Linked DNA regions of Canis lupus familiaris. The protein of the gene in region 1 interacts with the protein of each later gene in a pairwise test. Links are inferred from orthologs where the notes say so. Each region holds a gene or a part of one and is shown on either strand. Other genes may lie near its edges. The genes, in order: MYOZ1, TRIM63 and FLNC.

The links.
Region 2: the proteins of MYOZ1 (region 1) and TRIM63 interact in a two-hybrid assay, tested with the Homo sapiens proteins (2 studies listed by BioGRID and IntAct). The link is inferred for Canis lupus familiaris from reciprocal best matches to the Homo sapiens genes MYOZ1 and TRIM63.
Region 3: the proteins of MYOZ1 (region 1) and FLNC interact in a two-hybrid assay, tested with the Homo sapiens proteins (2 studies listed by BioGRID and IntAct). The link is inferred for Canis lupus familiaris from reciprocal best matches to the Homo sapiens genes MYOZ1 and FLNC.

What each region holds. Positions count from the first base shown.
Region 1 is NC_049225.1:24,891,356-24,894,168, forward strand, and holds the end of MYOZ1 (myozenin-1), read right to left. Parts: coding exon 2,725-2,813; intron 2,351-2,724; coding exon 2,185-2,350; intron 802-2,184; coding exon 570-801; downstream 1-569. UniProt on the Homo sapiens protein: Myozenins may serve as intracellular binding proteins involved in linking Z-disk proteins such as alpha-actinin, gamma-filamin, TCAP/telethonin, LDB3/ZASP and localizing calcineurin signaling to the sarcomere.
Region 2 is NC_049223.1:73,293,031-73,297,266, forward strand, and holds the start of TRIM63 (E3 ubiquitin-protein ligase TRIM63), read left to right. Parts: upstream 1-1,344; 5' UTR 1,345-1,601; coding exon 1,602-1,760; intron 1,761-2,632; coding exon 2,633-2,805; intron 2,806-4,236. UniProt on the Homo sapiens protein: E3 ubiquitin ligase. Mediates the ubiquitination and subsequent proteasomal degradation of CKM, GMEB1 and HIBADH.
Region 3 is NC_049235.1:7,664,331-7,667,978, forward strand, and holds part of FLNC (filamin-C), read right to left. Parts: intron 3,546-3,648; coding exon 3,409-3,545; intron 3,232-3,408; coding exon 3,038-3,231; intron 2,946-3,037; coding exon 2,832-2,945; intron 2,209-2,831; coding exon 2,065-2,208; intron 1,847-2,064; coding exon 1,723-1,846; intron 1,579-1,722; coding exon 1,418-1,578; intron 1,215-1,417; coding exon 1,124-1,214; intron 1,035-1,123; coding exon 865-1,034; intron 651-864; coding exon 533-650; intron 443-532; coding exon 180-442; intron 1-179.

The DNA.
Region 1 (2,813 bases):
CAACATCTACTTCCTAACCACAGCACACAATAGCTTCTTAGCTTTGCCCACATATGGGCCAACACATGTGTTTGTGCACGATTGTCTTTACTCTTGAATAATTATGTCTTTGTATATACCTATGAATATGGTCTCGTGGGTGTGGATGTGGGTGTGGGTGTATAAGCAACCAGAGCTCAGGTTTGGTCTTGAAGTCTGAATAATGAATGCTTAGTACTTGACTTTAATTAGTCTCTGTGCATTGTTAGCTTCAATTTTCATCTGCCCTTAAATATCAGAGGAAGAATGAGTTCATTTCCTTGAAGTTTATTGACTGTTACCGGTGGCAGAGCAAATTCCATAAAAGAACAGGTTCCATACAGAGCAAGTAGAAGGGGAGCTCTGAGCTGGTGAGGAAGGATGCTTGGAGTGGGGACTTGGAGTGAAGACTGGAAAGATAGATATTTCCCTCCTTTTTCCCTCCATTCCCACCAGGATACTGGATTTACAGTAGGGACATCCTGCTTAGCATTCCCTTTCAAATTGAACATGAGAAGAGAAAATTGATACAAAGTAGAGGAGGAAACACCTCACAGCTCCTCTGTTTCTCCATCCAAGGGGATGCCAATATCCACATTGTAATCTACTGGTTCCCCAGAGCTCAGCCAAGGAATAGGGGTTCGATTGAAAGAAGGCCTGTTGGAGAGGCTCTGGTTGTAGAGGACCAAGGGTTCACTCAGTAGGGGCCCCAGGTCAAACTTGGGCATCTGGAAGGTCATGCGTTTGGAGGCCTTCTCATATCCACCATAAGGCATTGCTGTCCTGAAAAGGGGACACATTATTTAATTAAAAACCAGGATAAAAGGAACAGCTTTATCAGTAAGATGTTACCCTGTTTTGAGAATGGGGAAGTTTGTGAATTTTAGTTTAAGATTGCTTCTGCCCAGTGCCTGGGTGGCTCAGTCCGCTATGTGGCTGACTCCGGCTCAGGTCATGATCTCAGGGTCCTGGGATTGAACTCAGTGTTTGGCTCTATACTAAGTGGGGAGTCTGCTTCTCCCTATGCCTCTCCCTCTACCCCTCCCCCAGCTCATGCTCTCTCTCTCTCTCTCTCTCTCTCTAACGGATAAATAAAATCTTAAAAAAAAAAGAAAAAAAGATTGCTTCTGCACTCCTTATTCTTCTTCTCCTTTAGTACTCCATTCCTGGTTTGCTTGTTTCCCCAGAGCTAATAATGAGAAAAGAGGTGTAGTGGGTACTGGATAGAGAGCTTCATGGAGGGTTGTGACTCAGACACTATAGAACCAAGGGTCGTCTGAGACCACCTTAAATTACAATGTAAAGATACCCTCCCCCCCCCCACACACACACAACTCCTACCCCACTTCCAGTGGATAGCCATGGCCTAGTGAGAAGAATTAGCATTGCCTGGAAAATTCAGGATTCTTAGGATCAAATGCAAAATGCTTCTCTAGTGTTTCCTTATTCTGCTTTTTTTTTTTTTCCTTATTCTGCTTTCACATAGATCTCCTATCCACAGTCTAGAGAAGCCAAATTCCAAAAGAATAGATACTTAAGCTTTACTAGAGTATAAAAAAATTGAACAGTAATGGAATCCTACAAGAACAATAACGGAATCCTAACCTTGAAAGAAAGGAACCTCCAGTGTACTTTAAATATCTAATACACTATTCCCCCCCGCTCTTTTTTAAGATTTCTTATTTATTCACTTGAGAGAGACAGAGTGAAAGCACAAACAGTGGGGAAGTGCAGAGGGAGAGGGAAAAGCAGACTCCCCACTAGCACAGGGAACCCAACATGGAGCTCTATCCCAGGACCCCGGGACCATGACCTGAGCAGAGGGCAGACCTTTAACCTACTGAACCACCCAGGTGCCCCTATATTATTCCCATTTTACAGCAAGGCAACCAAGGCTCAGAAGTAGGGTGACTTTCCCTTGCTCAGAACAACTAGTAAGTGGCAGAGTGAACTAAAATCTTGCCTCCCAGCAAACATTTCCTTCATCAGACTGCACTGTTCCTCTGGACTCAAGTGAAAAAAGCAAAGACCTCCAGTTAGGGCTCCCATGTTCCTTCCCTCCCTCCTCAGCTTCCTTCTGGAATATAAGAACTAAAGTCTCCATCCCAGCTGAGGACACTATGCCACATACTGGAATGCATCTGGTTCCTCCTTCATAACCCCTACCTGTTAAAGGACTTATATTGGGGAAGTTCAGGTTTGGCCCCATAGGCCAGTAAGTCGATGCCAAGCTCCACTTTCTGCTGAGAGTCCACCCCCATGGCTCTCTCCCATGGGGAAATATAGGTCTTGAACACAGTGATATGTTTTCCTTCTCCACCCGTCTGGTCTCCTGGCAGCCACAGGAGAGAAAATTAAGTCAATAATAATGGTTAGTAGCCAGTGGAAGTTAGTCTTACAGTCCTCCACTAGGGAAGTTGTTGAGGCCTGAGACCAAAGATATAACATCCTGGTAACTGTGCTAGTTTTGTGGGAAAATGACAGCCTGGGGTCGGATCTGTGACTGAAACTGAAAAGCCAGAAAGGCGACTGAAAGATAAGGCTTCCGGGTGAAACAGACACAACTCAGTTTTCTCCTGGGCCCAGAGAATCCATCTAGGTATCTCCACAGGCCTCCCTTGTTCCCTAAACCCAGCCCAGGCCTCATTCCTGGGAATATCTCTGCTCTAGGGACCAGACACATTACTCTTGGGTAAGGATACTTGCCTGTTCCTGTCTCGCCAACCCCTGCTGTTCCAGCAGCTCCTCCTTTGCCAGTCTGGCCCCCAGGACCACCTGTACCCCCAGATCCAGAC
Region 2 (4,236 bases), on another chromosome or scaffold:
GAGACCCTGGACATTCCTGTACATTCTATGGTGTCTTAGGCTCATCCTTGAGGCCTGCGGTCACTGCTCCCCCTCTTGCCCCAACACCAATATTGGCTAACCCCTACATCCTTTTGCATGAGATTCTACCTTAAAAATAGCCATCAGAACTACTCTAGTGACTTCTACGTGCCAATACAGAAGGTGTCCAGAAGAACATAGAGAAAAATACAAATTTGTGCAGAGAGTAGAGGGGAACATCTAGATAATCTCTAGATGTCCAGGTAGGGCTTCATGGTACCAAAATGATAGCTATTTCGTTTTCCCCCTCGATAGGCTGTGAGCTTCTTGGGACAGGGAAAAGGATTACTCATTTATCTGTCACCCTGGTGCCTGAAGTATAGTTAGTACTCAGAGAAATGTCTGATGAATGAAAGATTCCTGGCTTTGCCACTGACTTTCTCCTCCTCCTCCTCCTCCTCCTCCTCCTCCTCCTCCTCCTCCTCCTCCTTCTTCTTCTTCTTCTTCTTCTTCTTCTTAAGATTTTATTTATTTATCCATGACAGACAGGGTGGCGGGGGGAGAGGCAGAGGGAGAAGCAGGCTCCATGCAGGGAGCCCGACGTGGGACTCCATCCCAGGTCTCCAGGATCACACTCTGGGCTGAAGGCAGCGCTAAACCACTGGGCCATCAGGGCTGCCCTCTTCTTTTTTTAAAAGTATGGTCCTGCTTTTTTTTTTTTTTTTTTTTTTTTTTAAGATCTTATTTATTTATTAGAGAGAGAGATAGCATGAATGGGGTGAGGGCAGAGGGAGAAGCAGACTCCCTGCCAAGCAGGGAGCCTGACACAGGGCTCAATTCCAGGACCCAGAGATCACGACTCAAGCCCAAGGCAGACACCCAACCGACTGAGCCACCTAGGAGTCCCTGCCACTGACTTTCTAAGTGACTTTGACTAAGATCCTTTCCTTCTCTGGACCTCAGTGTCAAAATCTATAAAACTGTGGAGGGACAGGCTAGCTGGGGTAGGGTTTCAAAGTTTCCAGCAATATGCTATGCTCAGAGATGGGCTCAGAGAGAGGGGCTGCCCTGACCCCTTTTCTTGGGAGCCACTCAGTACTCTAGAGGAAGGGATTTAGGACAGTGAGGGATCACTGGCTATGAACTCTGCAAATCCCAGTGGCCCACTCCTTGGGTCCACTTCCTGGCTTACCAGCCTGGTATAGGAGACTAGGTTCTGGAGGAAACTCTGGTACCCTCTCCTCCCCCCACGCTGCCCACGAACAGGCTGTTCTTGTTTACGACCCTCCTCCCAGGAGAACAGCGATTGCTCATCCCTACATGTGATTTGAGAGGGCCGGTCTTTCAGGCCTGGAGGAAACTCAAACCCAGCCAGCCACTTGGCATCGGAATGTTCAGCTGGTCCCCTTCTGGGGCTCATGTGACCGAGACCCAGCTATAAATATCAGAGGGGCCTCAGACCAAGACAGAATTCGGGCACCAGGAGAACAAGGCAAGGAGGCTCTGTGTGGGTATTTTGTGACGAAGGCAAGACCCCAGGTCTACGTAAAGTGAGGCAGGTAAAGGAGGCAGCCAGGTGAACCTCCACACGTCCTGACAATATGGATTATAAATCAAGCCTAATCCAGGATGGGAACCCCATGGAGAACCTGGAGAAGCAGCTCATCTGTCCTATCTGCCTGGAGATGTTTACCAAGCCGGTGGTCATCTTGCCTTGTCAGCACAACCTCTGCCGGAAGTGTGCCAATGACATTTTCCAGGTCAGTGCTGGGCATGGCCTTGTCCTGGGCTCCAGGCGGCTGCTCAGTATTCCTGTGGTGAAAGCCATTGTCTCTTAGTCTAGGACTTCTAAACTGCTGGCTTTCTCCCGAGCAGAGCAAAGCCCCTGCAGAGGCCTCTGGGCTGAAGGGGGCTCGGAGGTGACCCTGGCCACCCCATTCCTTCTCCATGACGTGTGCTTCCCGTCTCCACCCTGCCCGCAGCTCCCCCACTGCTGCCCGGAGCCCACAGTTGACTCTCCAAACAGGAGTCAAATGCCTCAAGCGATAAGTGGGAGAGGCGGGTGGAGAGGAGAGAGAAACCAGACCCCTGGGGCTGGAGCCAGCTCCCTGGTGGCAGCGGGCCCAGAGCTTTGGGAGGAGGAGGGTGGCCAGGAGGCACTGGGCAGTAGAGGCATCTTCCCCTTCGAGGCCGAGACTGGTTCCCTATAATGTGGGGCTGGAGGGGATCCATCTCAACAAAGGAATAGGAGAAGTGCCCTGGCTGGGAGGCAGGACTCAAGGTTCCAGAAGCACTTTGTACTAATGTTCTCTCCAAATTTTATCTTTGAATTAGCAGCCCTACGAGCAGGCTCTAACGATAATGTCCATTGCGTGAATGAGTAAACAGAGGCTTGGAGGGAGAAAGTGGCTTGCCCAAGGTCATTCAGAGGATAACTGTGACTTGAACCTAGGTCTGCTGCCTCCCAAACTTGCTGACCGCTTAGTTGCTTTCTCAGGTGCTCCCCGTGTACGTGGGCTGGCTCTCATCTCAGGATGGGGAGTTCCATGTCAAATGGCTTGACGAGAATGGTTGGGGTGAGCAAGAAAGACAGAGACTGTCCCAGGCCTCATCTCTGCCCTTCCATCCGCAGGCCGCGAACCCCTTCTGGACCAACCGGGTTGGCTCCGTGTCCATGTCTGGAGGCCGTTTCCGCTGCCCTTCCTGCCGCCACGAGGTGATCATGGATCGTCACGGAGTGTACGGCCTGCAACGGAATCTGCTGGTGGAGAACATCATTGATATCTACAAGCAGGAGTGCTCCAGGTCAGTCCTCCCGGCTCCTGGGAGCCATCCTTCCTCCCCACCTGGTCTGTGCCCAGCTCTCCCAGGCTCCTCCCCATGTGCCCAGGATCAGTGCCCTGGCTGGAGAGCTACACTAGCCAGTCCAGAGAGCCATCTCCCTCTTCTTCAGGCACAACAGAGGCTTATCTCTATCCCCCGACACTGGCTCTTGGGGTCGGTCCCTCAGTGAATGAGAAGAGCCCAGACATTAGGCTGCTCTCCTAGGACAGGCTGAGACAGGAACCAGGGGAGGGACAAACTGTGACATGGAGAGGGAGACACTGGGGCCAGCAAAGTGGCCGGGCAAGCAGAGAAAAGTGCCCAGAGAGAACACAGCCGGTCTCTCTATAGTGGAGGCAATGGCTGTCATCGTGGGTACCGGGGACGCTTCCTCCCGCTGCCCCACAACAATCCTGGGAATTGGGCATGACTTTCATCCTCCCCATTTCATGGATGAGGAAGCTGAGGCTCGAAGAGGTGAAGTCAGTTGCCCAAGTGTTCCCAGCTGAGAAGAGAAATAGCCGAGGACAGCCCTGCCGATCTGGCCCCAAGTCTCCCTGTTTGTAAAACAGCAGCTCTGTCTTGGGCAGAATTTGTGAGAGTGGAGTTTGTGCAGTGTGTGTGTCCAGCTGGAGAGAGATATGGCCACCAGGGAGCTCTTTACAAATTTGACACCTGACAAGACTCCCAGGCCACTGCCCTCAGGCCCTTGGGTCCCAAACCATCATCCAGTGTTGCCCGCCTGGCAGTGTCCTGCCCCAGGATAAGTGACAGACCAATCTTAGTGTGAAAAAGCCCTGACCAGGGGAACCGTCGGCTAGTCTGACTCTGTTACTAATGTATTGTGGGAACTTGGTTGAATCTTTGGGCCTTCATTTTATCCATCAGCAGAGGAGGATGGTAAGGTTTGTTAGTGTGACTATCAAATAGGGTTTTGATGGGAAATGTTAAAAGTATCAGATATGTATGGACACCTCCTGTGTCTAGGCACCTCGTCTTAAGCATTTTCCATGCGTGACCTTTATTTAATTCTCACAGTAATCCATACTACTTTCTTACCCTCATTTTCCAATGAGGAAATGGAGGCTCCTAGAAGGTCAGAGGTGTGCCCGAGGCTGCTCAGCAAGCCGTGATGCTGAGAGGGAGCCTAACTGACTCTATGGTGAATATTCCTAACTGCTATTGCCTCTATGTTCCTGGAGTAAAACTCCATAAAAGTACAGAAATATTGCTGACCATTCTCCAATAAGAAAATTAATATTGCACCCAAATATTAGCCCCTCACCTCGAGTATCGACCTCTGAAGAGCAGGTTTATGCTTGAACCCTTCGGGGGCCTTTCTACACAGTCAAATGGCTGTGAGAGATGCCCTTTATTGAGGGTCTGCTCTGTGCTAGGCTCTATACATTCATT
Region 3 (3,648 bases), on another chromosome or scaffold:
ACACTCTTAATAACTAAGCTGTCTCAAAGGCAGGCCCTGGGATGGGGGAATCACTTGGCATTGGGTCCTTGGCTGCACTCACTCCAGGTGCATGGGTCTTCTAGCCTCTGCCCCTGTGATTCCTCCATCTTCCCTGTAAACCCCCATACCCCAGCTCCCTCCAGCTGCCATCTCTTCACCTTGGAGGGGTCAGGGGGCAGGACACCTTCCACAGCAAAGGGGCTGCCAGGCACTGGGTGACCATCGTAGGTGATGTCCACCTTGTAGGGCCCCTCCTCAGGGGGCATGTAGCGCACAGCCTGGGTTTCAGCTCCACCCCCAGGCTCCACCTTGCAAGGTATGGGTCGGCGAGAGGGTGAGGTCATCCGCACATCCAGCTGGCCCTGACCGCCAGCCCCACGTGTGTTCACAGAGAACGCCTGTTCTTGCCCCACAGCCACCTCTGCGGAGAGGGCAAGGGACACAATGAACAGAGACTCCAGCCCATCCCACAATACCGGTCACTTCCCAAGGCAGCTCCTGTCCCACTTACTGCTGTTCAAGCCTTGAACTTTGACTTTGCTGAGGTCCAATGGGGGTGCCACATTCACTACAAAGGGGCTCTTGGGGACAGGGTCCCCACCATAGGTCACTGTCACAGCCATGTTGCCCTGTTGGGTATGAGAAGAGGTCAGAACTAGGTGGGTTAGACATAGCCTGGCAACACACCCTTGGCCAACATGGACTTGAGGCCCAGAGGTGCACAGCCAGAGAGGAGGGGTGGCAGGAAAGGGGCCAACACTCAGAAGTGGCCCTAGGAGACTGGAGAATGGAAATTCAGGACCCTATCAGCCAGGAATGGTGAGGTGGGGTGGGGGGACACACCTGCTGGACAGCTGTGTACTTGACAGTGTAGGAGTAGTCATGGTTGTCAATGATTTCAAAGTCCCGCACAGCTTCGCCCTTGGCAGCCCCAGCAAAGTGCACATCCAACTTGGCCTTGCCGGCTCCCTTGGTCAGTACCGTGAAGTGAGTGGGCTTCCCAACTTCCACACCTGGGGAGCCCAATCAAGATGGCAGGTGAGGGCCTGGGGGACACCCAGCCCCACCTCCAGCCCAGCCCCGCACCTGCCCAGACACCTACCTGTTCTGTTCAGCCCAGGGCCCTCAGCCTTGACCTTGCTGGCATCATGGGATGGGTCCACCTTAATATGGAAGGGACTGGCAGGGATCTCCTGGATGGGAAAAAGACCTGGTGAGGATAGGCAAAGCCAGCTTCTGAAAGAGTCCCCTTTGTTTTTTCTGAAGCATGCTGCCTGCACACAGAAGTGCTCGATCGATGGCTGCAAAACTGTCCCCAAATGACATCATATCAAGCTGCTGGCTTAGACATGGAGGGTATAGGCTACCAGACTGCCACAGGCCAAGGGTGGGGTACCTGGTTGGCAAACAGCACCATGATGGTGTAGCGGCCCGCTCCCGGGGGTGTATACTTGACTGTGAAGGTGTCATTGTCATTCTTGATGATGTCAAAGTCGATGTCAGCTTCTGCAGGGCCCACTACGCCAGGGGCGCACTTGATACCGATACTCACATCACCTGAAGGGAGGCAGGCACAAAACCGTGAGTGGGGTCTCAACAGCCTCACCCACTTAACTAGAACTCTGCCCAGAAACAGGGTGGAGCCAGAGCAGGAGCCCCACCCCAGGCCCCTGCCCCCACCCCAGCCACAGCTGGGCGCACCTTGCCCAGCCTCACTGCAGTCCACGGTGAAGTAGGTAGGCTCGTTGGCCTTGAGGCCTGTCTTCTCCACGCCTGGGCCATACACCTTCACCCGCTCAGGGTGGCTGCCTTCTCCCACATTTACCTGCAGGGAAAGGGGTCAATGCTCAGCACAGTGCTCCTCCCACAAGGCCGCTTTCCTCAGCGCTACCAGGCCAGCCTTAGTGGTACCGATCTTAGCCTCCATGTGGACAGTGAGGTGGGGAGCAGGTGACAAGGGCCCAGGGACAACCAACATCTCCTGTGCAGGGTTCCACCCTCCCCTGGGACCCCAGCGGCAGGAAGCAAGACAGGAGGACATACCCGGAAGGGGCTCTTGGGCACGTTGACACCTCCCCAGGAAATGATGATGGTGTGTTTAATGGGCTTGGTGGGCACATAGGAGCAGCGGAAGGTGCCATCGCCGTTGGGAATGACCATGATGTTGACAGGGCAGCCATCAGCGTCCTGTGGGCATCACCAAGCGAATCTTAGAGTGCTCAGGCCTCCTCAGAGCACTGGCGCCCTCTGCTGGCCTCCATGCCCTCCTCACCCACCGCCTCTGACCTCAGGCCAAGGGAGCTCCGCCCCACGTGCTCTGGTGGTCAGGGCCCGCCCTGGGAGCCTAGAGATCTGGCTCTAGGCCATCTGTGTGGCCTGGCCTCCCAGTTAAGCATCTGAAATGTGTTAGTGGGGGAGAGGTTGCGCTAAGTCACTGTTTCTAAAATTGAATAGTGAACATTTTAAAGAAAAATTATCCTCTTGGACCCAAGAATACATTCATTAACTTCTAGAGGTTAGTGGCTACCAGTTTGAGAAACTGATTTGGGAAGCCAAGTCTATCACTGGCTTGAAAGATAATCAAATAATCTTTCAATTCAAAATTATTAGTACAACAAAATACACTTTTGGTAAAATATGCTCTTATGAATTCATCAGAAAACACAAAATTTTGTTTCCCATAGTTCTCCTGGATCCATAAGAGTCAGTCCTGCCATGCTACAATTTCCTCTGCCTCTCACCTGCCCCCACCTCCCAGGGCTCCTGCCCCAGGTGATGGGGGCAGCAGGACTGGGCAGTAAGTACCCCACCTGGGCATACAGATTCAGGTCTCCCTTGCCAGCGGCACGAGCATCAATGGTGAACTCCGCAGGCTTGTCCACGATGCAGCCTGTGGGCTCCAGGCCGGGCCCAAAGGCCTTCACCTGTGTAGCGGGAGGAGCAGAGAGCTAGGTCAGGGCCTGGAGGAGGGCCCTCTCCCCCAGTTCTGGGCCCTTGTGCAGGCGCTGGGACCCACCTTGTCTGGAAAGCAGTCGGGTGCGGCTGGCTGGATGTGGGCAATGAAGGGGGAGTCTCGGATGTCCTCATCATCACAGATGACATGCACAGCATACTCTCCGGGCTCTGTGGGCCAGTACCTCACATCGCAGGAGCCATCCCCCTTGTCATCACACTCAATCTTGGCCTGCGAGGGCCCCTCAATGGAGAAGCCTGTGTGCAAGGTACAGAAGATCAGAGGGCACAAGAGGCAGCTCGGACACTCAGGCAGGACCCCTATGTCCCACTCCTGATACTACCCAGCATTCCCACCCCGTCCCCAGTCACTTCCCAGGTCCCTCCATCACACCACTCCCCAGCATTCCTAGCTGCTACCACCCAGCCACTTACCCAGTGTCCCCACCTCCGTGCCAATGGCCTCCACCACAAAGTCGGCTGACTTGCCCACCTGGCCAGTTTTCAGGCCAGGACCCCAGGCCCGTACCTTCTGTGTTCCTGCCTCTGGGCTCACCTGTACCTCAAAGGGGCTAGGCAAAGAGGGATCTGGTGTCAACGCCAGGAAGTACCTCTGCTGGGGGTAGCCCTCCTCTCTTCCCTCACAGTTCCAGGCAGCCCAACCTCCCTCCTCCC